Struthio camelus: one gene and its partner. The protein of the gene in region 2 interacts with the protein of the main gene of each other region in a pairwise test. Links are inferred from orthologs where the notes say so. Each region holds a gene or a part of one and is shown on either strand. Other genes may lie near its edges. The genes, in order: SHC2 and FLT1.

Region 1 (7,538 bases), on a different chromosome or scaffold from region 2:
TCGCTCCTGCCAGCAAGCCCAAGGAAGCAGCCGCTGGCAAACGGCAGCTCTGAACCGGCCTCTTCCCTCCCTGCGAGCTCGGCGGGGGGAGGCAGCCCCCGCCGCTATTTATGGCTGAGGTCAGGCCAGCAGCTTGCACTAAAAAGCCAGAGCGCATTGTCCTCGAAATGCAGAGCATTCGTAATTACAATCGATACACCTTTCTTCCCTGCTCAGCCCCGCGCAGGACAAGCTGCCCGTCCTCCCGTCCCCAGCCCACCTCCCCTTGCGGGTCTGGCCCGGCCGGCGGCGGCGCCGGGCTCCTGCGGCCCCGGGGGCTGCGGGAGCGGCTTTTCCCGGCTTTCGTACAGGCTCCGAGCTCGGGCGCTCCTCCGCCCCGCGCTCGGAGCGGGTCGCAAAGGAGGGAGGGCGGCGTTTGCAGGGCAGCGTGGCCCTCGGGGCACCCGGGGCTCGCGGGGGGCTGGAGCGGGGGGTCCCGGCCCTGCTGCGCCCCGAGCCACCCCGGCCCCCCAGCTCCGTCCAGCTCCTTTGAGAGCCGCCTGGGGCTGAGGCCGGTGGTGCGGTGCGGGCACCCGCGGGGCTGAACCCCGGCCCCAGCCCGCCGCCTGGGGGGCTGCTGCGGCCCCCACCGGCCCTCCAGCCCCGGCGCCACCGTCTCCCGGCCCCTCGCCAGCTCCCCGCCAGCTTGTACCGTCGCGGCCCCGAGGCCCTGGACCGGCAGGAGCGAGCCCGGGCTCCCCGCGGGCATCCTCGCGCTGGGATGGCCCCTGGCCGCGGGAGCGGGGAGCAGCGGGCGCAGCGGGGCTGCCATCGCCGGCCGCCTGCTCGGCGATGCATCGCGCCTGCTGGCCTTCGCCGGCCGACGGGCCGGGCTGGGTTCCCCTTTGCAGCCCGGGGACCTGCAATAAATAAAGCGGCAGCACGCTGTGGCCCCCGCGCGTCTGCCTCCCGCCCCGCCGGGGTGGCCGAGGCCGAGGCAGCGGCGAGAGTGGCTGCCGGGGGGGCTGGGGAGAGGCGCTGGCACCCGGCCCCAGCGGGGCCGCGGCTGCGGGAGCAGAGGGGAGCGTGCTGGCACGGGGCTCCTCGCCCGGACCGTCGCCCCCGCAGCCCCGCTCGGCGGCAGCCGGCTGCATCCGTCCCCTCTCGGCCACCTTCGGTCGGGGTGGCTGCAGCCCGATGCCTCCCGGGAGGGTTCGAGGCCTTTTCCCTCCCAGCCTGGCTGCCAGGGGGAGAAATTTGGAGAAAGAGGCGGCCATGCCGTGGGGCAGGAGGGCTCGAGGCCGCCTGGTCCCGGGAGCTCAGCACTGACAGCTCGTCACACGTGTGCTCGGCCGTGCACGCGCCTGCTCTCCTCTCCTAATTAATCCTTCGTGGGCTTGAGAGCACTTGATGTCGATTCCCCTCGTGCAGCGCCAGAGGTGTAAGGAGATTAATTAGCACGGTTCAGAACGGTTATGCAAATCGCCCACCGCCGGGGAGAGCCGGGGTGCAGTCCAGCGGCCCCGGGAATCGCCCCGCGCTGCAGCAGAAGCGCGGGCTCCCGGGGAGGGGGGATCGCCCGGCCCCGCTCGGCCCGGCCGCGGGGGCTGCCGCGCGCCCCGCTGCCCCCCGGGCTTCGCTCTCGCGGGCTTTCCTTTAGGTCGTGGTTAAAAACAGGCAGGGGAAAGCCGTCGACGTGCAGCTAAGCGTCCAGAGTCTGAGACCGGCTGCGAACGAGATGAAAATAATCCCTTGGCCCCCGGGGACTGGTGCAAGGGAGGAGAGCGGCTCGCAGCGCCGCGGGGCAGCGGGACGTGGGGCGAGCGCGGCGCGGGGACCGGCCGCTCACCCCCATCCCGGCTGGCGCCGCGACGGCAGCACCGAGGAGCCCAACCCGGGGCTTTGCGGCTGTTTAAAAACAAAACCGAGGAGAGCAGCGAGAGGCTGGGAGAAGAGAAGCGGTTCCTAATACGGCAATAGCAAATGTAATTCTATTACCGTGATTTATTGATTGCACTTAGAGCAATTACTGGCGTCCCCCCCCTCACCTGCCGGGCGCGGGAGCCGGCACGGAGGAGGCAGGACGCCGGTGGCCGCGCTGCCCGACACGGCAGAGGGAATACCGGGGAGCGGGGTGGGCTGCGAGGGGGCACGACTGCCCCGTGGGGCTGCAACATCCCGTCGCCTCACACTGGCGGGGCTGGCGCCCACCCCTGCCCACGCGGCTGCCGGCAGCTCCGGTGGGACCAGCTCCGCTCTGGGCATGGGGCTGCAGGGGGCACAGCCCGGACCTCCCCGAGCCGCTGGTGGGGGCTCGGGCGGCATGGCCTGGGCTCGACAGGAGGCCGGAGTCCTTTCCACCCCTGGAAAAAAGAGACAGCCCCAGGTCTGGAGAGGGAGAGCGTTAGCGGGATTGTTCTGAGCTCAGAAAGTCCCTGCAAGGTTTTTTCTTTGCTTGCTGCAGATACTGGCAGAGAAGCAAGAAAATGATTGTGCTTTTTACCGGCAGCGCCCTCCAGACAGATATAAACATGCAAGAGACAGGCCTGGCTTTGGAGGCAGACAAACTCGGCGTGAACGAGACCACTGGGTTGGGAGGCAGAGAAATAGGCCAGCCCCACTGCGCGGCGGAGCCTTGCAAAGCCAGCCCCAGGCTCCCTGCAAACATTTCCCGATGCTGGAGACACGGAAAAGAGGAGAAAACATCCCAGGCGCAGGAGAGGGCAGGGGCTGGGGGCTGCTGGCCCTTCAGGAGCTGCCTCCTCGCCACTCAAGCTAATTGCAAGCGGGAGCTGCAGAGGAGACCATGCATCACGCTTTATGGCTCCCAGCGGGCAGGCAGTAGCTCTCCCCGGCTCCACGTCACCCGGGAGGCTCCGAGCCCGTTAACCCTGCAGCACCTGCTGCAAAGCCGGGCACCGTGGGGCAGCGGCCGGCCCCGGCCAGGGGCTCCGCTCGGCCATGGCCGCGGCGAGCTGGCTGGGAGCGGGGCGCGGGGCAGGCAGCGCCGTGCAGCTCTGTCCCCATGGGGCTGTGCATGCGGAGGGTGTGCGGACGTGGCGGGGCACCCCCGAGGCCTGGGGGGCTGCAAGGCCGTGCCTGGGGCTCTGCCGGGACAGCACGGGTACCCCAGGCCGTGCAGGGAAAACCCCGCTGGCCTCCATCTCCCAGCTTCGGGGGTCGAGGCATGTCCCCTGCCCTCCTCAGAAGGGATCCGGTGCAGGGACTGTTTCTGCCCTTCCCTGGGGCTCTGTCGCCCCTTCCCTGCAGAGTCAAGGGCTCAGGGGGCAGTGGGGCTGGAGGGATGCTCATGGGCCAGGAAGGATGCTTGCATGGCAGGAGGGATGCGTGTGGTGCCAAAGGCATGTGCGTGGGGTGGGAGGGATGCTTGCACAGCTTAACGGATGCTCGTGGGGCCAGAGGGATGCTGATGGGGCAGGAGGGATGTGCGTGGGGTGGGAGGGATGCTCACAGGGCCAGAGGGATGCTCATGGGGTCAGAGGGATGCTGATGGGGCTGGAGGGATGCTGATGGGGCGGGAGGGATGCTGCACGGCTGGAGGGATGCTGATGGGGCGGGAGGGATGCTGCACAGCTGAAGAGATGCTGATGGGGCGGGAGGGATGCTGCACGGCTGGAGGGATGCTGATGGGGTGGGAGGGACACTTGCATGGCTAGAGGGATGCTTGTGGGGCTAGAGGGATGTGTGTGGGGCCAGAGGGATGCTGATGAAGCAGGAGGGATGCTGCATGGCTGGAGGAATGCTGATGGGGCGGGAGGGATGCTGCACGGCTGGAGGGATGCTGATGGGGCGGGAGGGATGCTGCACGGCTGGAGGGATGCTGATGGGGTGGGAGGGACACTTGCATGGCTAGAGGGATGCTTGTGGGGCTAGAGGGATGTGTGTGGGGCCAGAGGGATGCTGATGAAGCAGGAGGGATGCTGCATGGCTGGAGGAATGCTGATGGGGCAGGAGGGATGCTGCACGGCTGGAGGGATGCTGATAGAGCAGGAGGGATGCTGCACGGCTGGAGGGATGCTGATGGGGCGGGAGGGATGCTGCACGGCTGGAGGGATGCTGATGGGGCGGGAGGGACACTTGCATGGCTAGAGGGATGCTTGTGGGGCTAGAGGGATGTGTGTGGGGCCAGAGGGATGCTGATGAAGCAGGAGGGATGCTGCACGGCTGGAGGGATGCTGATGGGGCGGGAGGGATGCTGCACGGCTGGAGGGATGCTGATGGGGCGGGAGGGATGCTGCGCGGCTGGAGGGATGCTGATGGGGCGGGAGGGACGCGCACAGGGCGGGAGGGACGCGCGGGGTGGGAGGGATGCTCGCGGGGCGGCCTTGGGCGCGCAGCCTGCCGGCCGGCGAGCACTCACACCATGACATCACCGCGCCGCCAGCCCCGGGGGAGCGGGCAGGGGGTGGGGGCCGGCGCGGGCAGCCGCGCCGCCAGCGCGCGCCGCGCCAGGCAGCCGCTCCAGAGGCACGGCCGCAGCGCGGGGCATGCTCCCGGAGCCCAAGTATGACCGCTTTCGCAACGACACGCTGACGGCCGCGGCCGCCCCGCGCCACCCGCCGGCCGCCCCCATGCCGTCGCCGGCCCCCTCGCCCGCCGGCGCGGCCCCGGCCCTGGCCCACCCGTGTCCCCCGCTCGGCGAGGAGCAGGAGGCCGTCACCACCTTCTGCATGCTCATCCCCAGGATGCCCCAGTGGAAGTTCCCCGGCCCCACGGGCTTCCTCAGCCGCAGCCCTTCGGGCTCCAGCAAGGAGCTCTCCTCGCCGGCCAAGGCGGGGGGCCCCGCGGAGCCGGGGGGGCCCCCCTCCAGCCTGGCCGCCGTGCTGAGCGCCTGCGAGCCCGTCTGCTCGGCGCCCTGCTCGCTGCAGGTGATGAGCCGGCTGCGCGGCGGGGCTGGGGCCGCCAGGAAGGCCGCCCGCGTCGAGGGGGCCAAGCTGGCCGGCGACGAGTGGACCCGCAAGGGCAGCTTCATCAGCAAGCCGGCGCAGGGCTGGCTCCATCCCGACGAGCGGGTGCTGGGACCCGGCGTCTCCTACATCGTCCGGGTAAGTCTGGCTGCGGCCGCGTCCTGGTGGGCAGGCGCGAAGCCCCCGGCGCCAAGCGGTGCCGTTGCCCCAGGACCGGGTGCTGCCCGGCTGGGGAGCTCCGCGCCAGCCTCCTGGGGGCTCCATGCTTGGCGCAGGGGCCGCGGCGATGGTTTCCGGGGCCGAAGGCTGCTGGCAGGCTGCACCGTGCTGCGGCCACGCGCCTGGCTCCGAACCAGCCCAGCCTGCACGCGGCTCGGGGCCGGGCGGACGCTCGGGGCCGGGGAGCGAGGCAGAGCCCAGGGATGCTCTGCCAGGACGCACCTGCCCCACGGCCCCGCCGTGCCTCAGTTTCCCTCCAGCCAAAGGGCCGTGCCTGCAGGGGAGCTGGCCGGCAGGGTGACTGGGCGGGTGGCCCCGCGCGGGCGCTGCAGGCGGCAGCCGGCTGCGGGCTGGGGCGATGCTCGGGGCGGGCAGGCCCGGTGGCACGGCGGCGGGCGCCATCCGCGCAGCCCTTTCTCCCCGTCACGTGGCGGCCGAGCTCTGTGAAGCCACTGGCACACGGCGGGGAGGGCGGCTGGGCCGGCTGGGGGCTCCCCGGCCCGGGGGAGCAGCTCTGGGACGTGGCCGGAGCCAGCCCCTCGCAGGCAGACGAGCGTGCCGGGTCTCAGCGCGGGTTCGGGGGCGCGACGGAGCCTCCCCGCTGGGCGTCTGCGCATCGGGGCGAGCCCCGGCGCGGGGTCTCGGGACGCCCCCTCGCCGCCCCGGCTCCCCTCCTTCGCGCCGGTGGCCGCTCTGAGCACCCTCCCCTCCTGCCGCCCCGCAGTACATGGGCTGCATCGAGGTGCTGCGCTCCATGCGGTCCCTGGACTTCAACACCCGCACGCAGGTCACCAGGTAGGGAGGGCCCCGCGCCCCGCCGGCCCCGGCAGTGGCTTCCCTCCCTGCGGGGAGGTGGGGGACGGGGCCGCGGTCGGGGACCCTGCGCCAGGATGGAGATGGAGATGGGGATGGAGATGGGGATGGGGATGGGGATGGGGATGGGGATGGGGATGGGGACCCCTGCACCATGCTGGTGATGATGCCATGGTTGGGGACCCCTGTGCCGTGCCAGAGATGGGGATGGGGACCCCTGCGGCATGCCAGGGATGAGGCCACGGTTGGGTGCCCCTGCACTGTGCTGGGGATGGGAACAGGGACCCCTGCACTGTGCTGGGGACAAGGCCATGGTTGTGGACCCCCGTGCCATGCTGGTGATGAGGCCACAGTCGGGGACCCTTTTGCTGTGCCAGGGCCGGGGCTGTGGTCAGGGACCCTTGTGCTGTGCTGGGGACGGGGTCCCCCATGCTGTGCCGGGGACGGGGCCACGATCGGGGACCCTTGTGCTGGGCTGGGGACGTGGGAGCGGCGCGGCGAAGGGCACCTGCTGCCGATCGATAGCAGAAAGAGGAGAAGGGAGGCGGCTCCGGCCGGGATTATTCACCCGCGGCAGCGGTGACATTGGGGACGGCGGGGGGGGGGGCTGCGGCTGGCCGTGCCCAGGGGACCGGGGGGCCGGGGGGGCCGGGGCTGTGCAGCCGTGACCCCCTGGCGCGGCGCTCGCAGGGAAGCCATCAACAGACTGTACGAGGCGGTGCCGGGCGTGAAGGGCATCTGGAAGAAGAAGGTGAGTTCCCAGCCCGGCCGGCGGCTGCTTCCCGGGGCCGAGCCGGGCCGGGGGTCCTCCCCGCGGGTCGCCCCGTGCCCGGCGCCTCGCTGCCCTCCTTGGCCCCGAGAAACCCGGCCGGGGGGCTGCTCAGCCCAGCGCCGCCCCGTCGCCCCCAGGCCCCCAACAAGGCGCTCTTCTCCATCCTGGGCAAGAGCAACCTCCGCTTCGCCGGCATGAGCATCGCCGTCAACATCTCCGTCGACGGCCTCAACCTCAGCATCCCCAGCACGCGGCAGGTGAGCGGAGCGGCGGCCAGGCGGCGGCCGGGCGGCGGCGGGGGGGCCCCGCGCTCACCCCGCTCCGGGCCGCGTCTCCCCGCAGATCGTCGCCCACCACCACATGCAGTCCATCTCCTTCGCCTCCGGCGGGGACGCGGTGAGGAGCGGGGCCGAGGCGCGGGGTGGGCGCCCCGCGGCGCTCCGGAGGCGGCCCCGGCCCTGACCGCCCCTCCGTGCCCCCAGGACACCACCGACTACGTGGCCTACGTCGCCAAGGACCCCATCAACCAGAGAGGTGACGCTCGCCCGGGAGCCCGCGGGGCGGCGGGGAGGGGGCGCGGGCAGGAGGGCTGAGCCGGGGGCCGGGGCCGGAGCGGGGGACGCGGCGGAGGGGGGCGGCCGAGCCTCCGTCCCTCCGTCCGTCCGCCCGTCCGTCCGTCCGCAGCCTGCCACATCCTGGAGTGCTGCGAGGGGCTGGCGCAGAGCGTCATCAGCACGGTGGGCCAGGCCTTCGAGCTGCGCTTCAAGCAGTACCTGCACAGCCCGCCCCGGGCGGCGGCGCCCGCGGACAGGTAGGGCACCGGCACC
Region 2 (7,907 bases):
ACTAAATATATACAAACTATAAAGCAAATGTATCCAAACACTATGCAGAACAGATACAAAAATATTGTTCCTTCCCACATCACAGCGGAGAACACAAAATATGCATATGCATAGAAATATCAGAGGACTAAAGTTCCCAGCACTCACAAGTCAAAGAAATATGATTTCCTTAATCTCATTTTGAAATGGGAAGTCTCGTGGCTTGCAGTTTGCATACTGCTTTGGGGAGATTTAAATTTAGACATATACAAGCTAAAAGACTTCCTTCTGTCCCTTCCCTATGAAACTGTCTGCAGTAACTCCTGAACTACTGACTTTTTCTGTGAATGTACTCCAGTACCTGTTGGTCAATGGGAGCTGAGCAGATGCCCTTCGAGATTAAACCACAGCAGGGGACCGCACGGCAGTGATGAATCGAGTTTCATCAAGAACACTTGAAAGGGGAAGCGCTGACCAGCCTGAGTAACAGTTTTAGACAAACAAGCAGTGTAGGAGGATGACATGGAAAGAGAAGTATTGTGAGTATCTATGCATGGTATAAAACATCCCGCCACTTCACCCGTAATTTTAAAATGCCAGGTGCAAATGCAAGTACGGAGAGTTTTACTGCTGACTCAGAAGAGGCACGATCAACCTATCTGGAATGCCTAGACAAAGCTGTGCAAGGGACAATTTCCTTTTCAGCAAAACAAATTGTAACAAGATGAACAATTTCAAGAAAGTCCTAATCTTGATTTGGACCTTAACTTATCATACTTGGGGGGAAGGGAGGGAATTGCCAGCAAAGAGGTTGCAAAGGTACTCAGTCAAACTACAACAAAGCACTCTTCCAGCACCTATTGCGCCTGAGCCAGTCCCAGGATGTACCTCATGGTAGTCCAGTGCCCAGAGCACCAGCTTTTCCACTAAGCAAGCTTAGCTTTTCCCACTGGAGCTGTTCTAAGGTGTATATATCCCTGGGTAGCACGGGGAACAGGAAAGTGATCCAGTCTCTCACAGCCCTTGGATCACAGAGTTCATCTTCTCTTTGGGCAGTGGTTTGTCATGATTTGCACAACGGGAAACCTTTCCAACAGGAAAGAGGAAGCCAGTGCCCCAGAGTAGCTGGTCACTTCAGGAGCACATGTGGGAGCCGGACACTGGAGTTCAAGCCCATGCTCTGAAGGAAGCCTAGTAAGGATCTGAACTAACATTTCCTGTACCGAGGGCAGGCGTCCCGTGCCTGTGCCTACTTCATCCTGGGTATGAGAACCTCCTTGGCAGGGATAAATAATACGGGAAAAATAGCACTTTCCCGGGGGGGAAAATGTATGTACACACAGACACACATACACACAAACAAATATATATACACACATACATATATATATATAAATTGATGAATCAGCCTTTCCCGAGTAGGAAAACGTCTCCTCAGAGCAGCCCCTGCTCGCGGTCACCCCGGGCAGCCCCGGGACGCGGCTGCTGTCGGCCGGCAGCACCGGCAGCCGCCGAGGAGCGCCGCGCCGCGCCTCGCAGGGGCCGCTCCCGCGGGCATCACTCCGCTCCGCGCCGCTCCGCGCAGGGGCCGCTCCCGCGGGCATCACTCCGCTCCGCGCCGCTCCGCGCAGGGGCCCCTCCCGCGGGCATCACTCCGCTCCGCGCCACGCAGGGGCCGCTCCCGCGGGCACTCGCGGAGGAGCAGCCCGAGCCCTCGGCCACTTGTGAGGGGGAGCGCCGCAGGTCGGGTGGCCGCAGCCCTGACCACAGAGACGCCGCGCTGCGCGGTCACTGGCCTCGGTGACGGCCGCGGAGAGCTCAGTTTTCCCACTCTCCCGGCGGGATTTGCCCTCGCCCCAAGCTCGGTCAGGCCAGACCATGCTGCGCGCCTGCCCGCGGAGGCTGCCGGGGCCGCAGACCTGCCCCTCGGGGAGCTCCGCAGACCGGCAGCGAGGAGCTCCCGCGGGACCGGCACCGTGCCCGGCCCCACGCAGCCCTGCTCCCCGGCGAGCAGCAATGCCATGCGGGCACACGCTCCAGCTCACGGCGCACCGGCCTAGCAGGGCAAGCTCCTCTCCCAAAGTAAAATGTAACTCCATTAGGAGGAACAAATCTGTGCGCTCCTCTATCCCGGCACCGCGCAGCCTTGCGCGAGGCCAGCGCCGGCGAGCAGCGCCCTCCCGCTCTCCGCGCGCGTCCGCGCTAGGCAGCTCCAGCGCGGCCACCCTTAACGCGCAGGCAGCGCCGGCCGGTGCTCCGCGGACGTGCGGTCCTGCCCGGGGGCGGCCACGAGGATGTGTGTTTTGCGAAGGAAATGGGTAACCTTCCTTTCCTACTTAACGGGTAGAACCGGGAGAGGCTGACACTTCGAAACAAAGAGGGGAAGAAAAAAAGCCTGCCCTGGAGCCTAGACCTGTTTTCTTTCCGTGATGCTGTCGCACCGGTTGGGACAACGCCTGGGGCTGGTCGGGCCCCCCGCGGCCGCTCGGCTCCCCGCCGGCACCGCTGGCTGCCCGGGAGAGGCGCGGAGGCTCCGCACCCGCCGGCGCCCCGGCGCGCCTCTCTCCAGCCGCCTCCCGCTGTTGCCCCAGGGCAGGCGGCCGGGAGCCGGAGGGTGAAGCCCCCTCGGGATCCGGCCTTTCCCGACTCTCTGAGGAGCCGCGATGGCCGTCGCCTCCCCCCCGCCGGGGGCTCTGGGGAGCCGCCGGGTGCCGAGGGGAGGCAGGTGGGAAGCGGCGGCCGGGGAGGGTGCGGGACCCCGCCGAGGAGGGAGCCGGTGGGGCCGCGTCGCGGAGATCCCCGCGGGGGTGTGTGGGGGGAGCAGGATGGGCAAGGGGCAGCGGGGCTCGGGTCCGGGGGGCGGCAGCCCCGCGACGGGGCAGGGGCCTTACCTGCGAGCAGCAGGGCGGCCCCCAGCAGCACGGTCCCAGAGAGCAGCTGGCAGGGCATGGTCCTGCCCGCGGGGAGCGCAGGGCTCTTCCCCTGCCGACGGCAGCGAGGCAGAGGCGCCGGCTGGGCTCCGACGGGCTCTCCTCCGTCCGGGGCTCCTCCCGCGGCGGCGGAGATAACGGTGCAGCGCGGCGCGGGACCAGCATCCAGCAGCCCCCGAGCCCTCCCCGCCCGCCCCTGCCCGCGGAAAAGGGAGTGTCCGCAGCCGGCCGCCCTGCCTGCTTCACCTCCCGCCGACATCAATTACCAGCCAGCCGCCGCCCCGCTGATTTATAACTTCTCCACCCCTCACCGCGCACCCCCACCCCCGGCCCACATCCTCCGCCCTCCCCGGGACGCGTCACGGGACCCCCCGCCCGCCCCACGGCAGGCACGGGGCGCTCCCGCAGCCCTCCCGGCCCCGCGCCGCCCCCGACGCAGCGCCCGGCTCCAGCCGGCCGTGCCCTCCCGCCGCCGCCGCCGCCCGGCCCCGCCCGGCCCGGCGCTGGGGACTTCCCAGCGGCTGCCCCGCACCGGGATGGGGTCCCGGAGGGGCTCACCGCCCCCGTCGGCGCCGCGGTGTAGGACGGGGCCGACCGGCTCCGCCCGGCAAGGCGCGCAACACACTCGTGCCTCCAGACCAGACGGGTTCCCCGCAGAAGTGCTAGGGGCGTCCCGTGCCGCAGCGCCGGCCTCCTGCACCGCAAAGAGCCAGCGGTGCTTCCCGTGGTGAGGAGCGTGGAGTTAGGGCCAGGTGAGACCGGCACTCCCACCTTTTCCCGTGCTGTCGGACAGGGCGCTCGGGGAGCCTGGCAGCACCCCGTGCACCCGCAGCACCCCGGGAACAGCCCTGCCAGGTGCCCGGGGCTGCTCTCCCCACCTTCCCCCCAGAGGGTCAGCACGGGGTCCCCAGCAAGCAGCATGGAGCACTCTGGGCAGCAAAGAGGCAGCACGGGCTAAAGATGTTCCAGGAGTGTGCCCAGTGCTGTTGGCGGCCTTCATCGACCCTATGACTTCCAGGACTAAGCTGGAAATGTATTTCTCCTCCTCATGCATTTACCTTACGCTTTCCATGATTGTTTTATTTTGTGAGAGACCAGAGGGAGCCCATGACAACAAAACCTACACTATGTGTTTCCACTTTCTCCCTTTTGTAGCCAGAGATGGGCTATTGGGCGAAGGAGGTCTTTGGTCTGACCCAGTATGGCCCTTCCTATGTTTTTATGTTATGAAATAAGTCTCAAGAGTCTCTGCATGAGGCAGGTAAATGTGATTATCCCCATTTCACAGAGGAGGAAATGGAGGCGCATAAAGAGGTTAGGCAGCCAGTCCAAGGTCATAGGAAGCGGGTGACAGAAGCTAGAAATAGAACTCAGATCTCCTGTGTCCCACCAGACCATCCTGTGCAAGAAAAAAGATGAGAAGTTGGTGTTGTTTTTAACTTGAGGACTGTTTAACTTTCAAGTTTAAAGTTGGTGAGAATATTTCCTGCAGGCTTCTGTCAGATTCCTATTCATAAGTGACACCCTAAGCTAAGAATTTAAGCTTATATTTTCCAATCATCCTGCCTCCAACTGAGACCTTGAAAATAAAATAGTTATGGGTACCTTCCCCCTCATCTGCTTACACCATGGGGGGAAGAGCCCCAAAATTTCTTTCCTGAAGAGGATGACTCATAAGAAATCACCTCCTCCAGTGGAGAGGACAGCAACTGGGAAAACAGTCAGCCAGTGAGGATAGATTAACCAGAATTAGGACCATGGGCATCCTGACAGCTCAGACCCCCTAAGAGCAAGGGCTCCCTGTGGAAGGAGCTAAGGGAACTCTCTGTCCCTGCCCTTGACCTTCTCAGTGCTGAGTACATGCTGAGTCTGTGATGATGCAGGCCCCATCATGAGCTCTGCAGCTATGCCACACCAGCTCCCACCCTGTTCACACCTCCTACACCGCAGCTGCATTTGGTCATGGCCCTCCAAAGACCACAACACTTTGGCAAGACTTACCACCTTCCTTCTCTAACGGATGTCATCAGCTCCTGATCCACCCAAGGGACTGAGGAACAGGAAGGGCAGACCTGAAGATCTGTTCATAACCCTTCAATCCAGTTCATATACTAAAGCCAGTGGAGCCTGCAAGAAGATTAAAAAGACCCCCTTAGGGAGATACAGACAAGAATGAGGCAGCAGATATTCTCAGAAGGCAGAATGAAAACACCATAGGAAGCATATGCCTGGAGGTAGATGAAAGGCACATCTACCTACATCTATGTTTCTAAACATAGAGGCTGAAGCATCTGGACAGATGGACAGTGTATGGTGAAGGAGAAGGCAGCATGGAACTTATTTGAAAGATCTTATTTGTATCTACTATGACATAACTTGCAATAGCTACTCGGATGGGAGCTAATTTTGAAGAGTGCCTTAGGTGCTGTGGCCATACAAATGCTGATGGGCCAACCATAGACCCATTCCAGGCAAATGTACATCTTGCAGGCAATATGATCTCTTGACACCAGAATCTTAGGCTCAGGTTTGGCACTAAGTAATAGGTAGCATATGTGCAGACAAGTCTTATCCTTGGGCATTATGTTTCCTTTGGCTGTGAAAAGTGGGAAATCTCCTTTCTCTAACATTTGCTAAAAAAATTATTACCAAATGCTAGAAAGAAAACCTGCCAAATTTAACAGCTGAGAGTAAGCCCTCTTTGAAACATAGCAGACAAACATCTTTCCTGCAAGGCTGATTGTCTGCTCAATCTCCAGCGCTATAGAAGCTGCAAAAGATGGAGAAGAAATAGCCCTCACAGTAGACATCAGTTTTAAGGGTTCACTTGCAGCCCAGCAGTACGTTGTATTGTTCATGAATGTTACCCTGCTTTAGAGTAAGATGATTCTGCCAAGCCTTTTGGTTGAACAACCCATACATCTAGCCCTAAGATAAATAAGTTATCAGATAGCAAAAGCACTAATTCTTCAATATGCATCCTTTCCCCCTCCCTGGCCTTCAAGACTCATTGGAACACCACAGAAAGCGAGCAATAGGACATTTGACTGAAAAGGCAAGTAATTAGGGCATTCATCTGAGGAAGGGGTCAAGCCCATTTCCTGGGTCTGCCTTGTGCAATAGACGCACATGTTATAAAGAAACAGACACCACCCAAGAGCAAGGTGGGGTGGAGAGACGTCTCAACCCGGATATGACTTAGTCAAGTCACTAGGACACATCCTGAGGTTGTGGATCCTATTCCCTGCTAGAAGCAGGACACCTGGCACATCCTGAGTTAAGGTTTTAGCCAAGTCTCCTGGGAGGAATAGCTTGGACAGTTCCCGTGGACGTGGCAAAAAATAAAGAGCCTGGAAAATCCCACTCATACCAGCAGCTGATACCCTCCCAGCCTGACCTGACTCTTTCCAGTCATGGTAGCAATTTTTTTATTTGCACTGATGCTCAAAATTAGCTCCATGAGATACCAGTTCCAGTGTTCAGAGCATTACACAAAACGTTATTACCAGCATCTGCACCAGCAGTAGCCTGTCCTCAGGAAAAGACTACGTGGATTGGAGTGAGAACTGAAGGACCTAATGATTTCTGTTGATCCCCTGTGCTCATGGCACAGAGGTACACACCTCACAACAGCAGGCTAGATTGCCTGCTAGACATTCCCAGGTTTCCCACTGTTGGGAGAGAGGGAAAGATATCAAAGCAAAGTAGATTGGATCTCCCTCTGCAGGTCTTCTGCAGAATCTGCATCTACCAATTGACTTCTTAACAGAGGACTGGGTGCTCCCAGGAGCTAAAATTTAAGCAAAGGCATATCTCAGTTAATCATCCAAAAAAATTACATTTTTTTCAGTGGCAGAGCTGGCAGGCAAGGATCCAGTGCTCCTTGTCCACCCTTCCTCCCCACACTACAGTTCACTGCTGCTCTTTTGCACTGGCACAACTGTTTTCAGAGCTCTGTGTAAAACAGTTTGGTGAAACAACCCGGGATTTCACTGGCCCAGTTTTTATGGAGGGCCATTTTCAACCTGAATAATTTCATTAGTATGGTTTACAACACAGCCACACAAAGGGAGACACAGTGAACTGTGATAGCTGGAAGAGTGTTGGAGCGTCTCACACTCATCCAGCTCCTGGGGAAATTGAAGCCTGCAGCAATATCCTAGGCGAGATGGACTGGGTGTGCCCAAGACCTTCCTGTAACTCTCTTCCCCTGTCCCTTGTCAATGAAGTGTTCTCAGTCACCATTATTTTAATTTCCTTTGGTTCCGTCTCCCTAAGTCAGGGACAGAATTTGAGAAGCATGTTATCAAGTCAATTTGATTTACCGTCATCTTCCCAATTTTAGCTGCTTTTGTTATTTGGATTAATCATGGATGAACAGCAGGGACGTACTACATTCAAAGTTTCATTTAAATGAAAGTAAAGTTCCTTATCTTTCTCCGGCACTGTAAGAAGAGAAAGCTGAAAGACCTCTTCTCTGTACTACAGTGTTTAATGGGACAACCACTTGTACTTGCTCAGATGCATATATGAGGCATATGCATAGAAGCACAGGCAAAGACATCAACTATGGTTGTGACTGTGCTTTCCCTCAGCAAGACTGAGCTTTACTTTACACTCTACAGCCTCTCTGCTCTGTGCCGGGTCAGTGTGTGGAGTAAGATAACTAAAAGCTGCAACAAAGATTCAGTCCTTTTAGGACAATCTCACAGCACTGCTGCCCATCATTCACAGAAGGATATGACTATTCAGAGCACTGTCAAAACTAAGTCGACCTTAGGGGTAGGTAAAGAAGGCAGCTATCTAACCACAGCAAGAAGGTAGAGGCCACGGGAGCACATAATTTACTGATGCTCATTATTTCTTATTACAGTTAATCAACTGGCATGAGCAATTAATCAGGTTTTCCTAGTAGTTTACTAGGAGGTGAGGAAGCTAATGAGTTAAGAGCTCCAGTAATCCTCCAGCCTAGCTTGGTGCAGGTCGCAGAACACCCTG

Evidence for each region.
Region 1: the proteins of FLT1 (region 2) and SHC2 interact in a two-hybrid assay, tested with the Homo sapiens proteins (2 studies listed by BioGRID). The link is inferred for Struthio camelus from reciprocal best matches to the Homo sapiens genes FLT1 and SHC2.

The regions. Positions count from the first base shown.
Region 1 is NC_090967.1:7,690,602-7,698,139, forward strand, and holds the start of SHC2 (SHC-transforming protein 2), read left to right. Parts: upstream 1-4,481; 5' UTR 4,482-4,487; coding exon 4,488-5,045; intron 5,046-5,850; coding exon 5,851-5,921; intron 5,922-6,629; coding exon 6,630-6,690; intron 6,691-6,848; coding exon 6,849-6,968; intron 6,969-7,053; coding exon 7,054-7,107; intron 7,108-7,193; coding exon 7,194-7,245; intron 7,246-7,395; coding exon 7,396-7,522; intron 7,523-7,538. UniProt on the Homo sapiens protein: Signaling adapter that couples activated growth factor receptors to signaling pathway in neurons. Involved in the signal transduction pathways of neurotrophin-activated Trk receptors in cortical neurons.
Region 2 is NC_090942.1:200,284,955-200,292,861, reverse strand, and holds the start of FLT1 (vascular endothelial growth factor receptor 1), read right to left. Parts: upstream 3,183-7,907; 5' UTR 3,169-3,182; coding exon 2,871-3,168; intron 1-2,870. UniProt on the Homo sapiens protein: Tyrosine-protein kinase that acts as a cell-surface receptor for VEGFA, VEGFB and PGF, and plays an essential role in the development of embryonic vasculature, the regulation of angiogenesis, cell survival, cell migration, macrophage function, chemotaxis, and cancer cell invasion.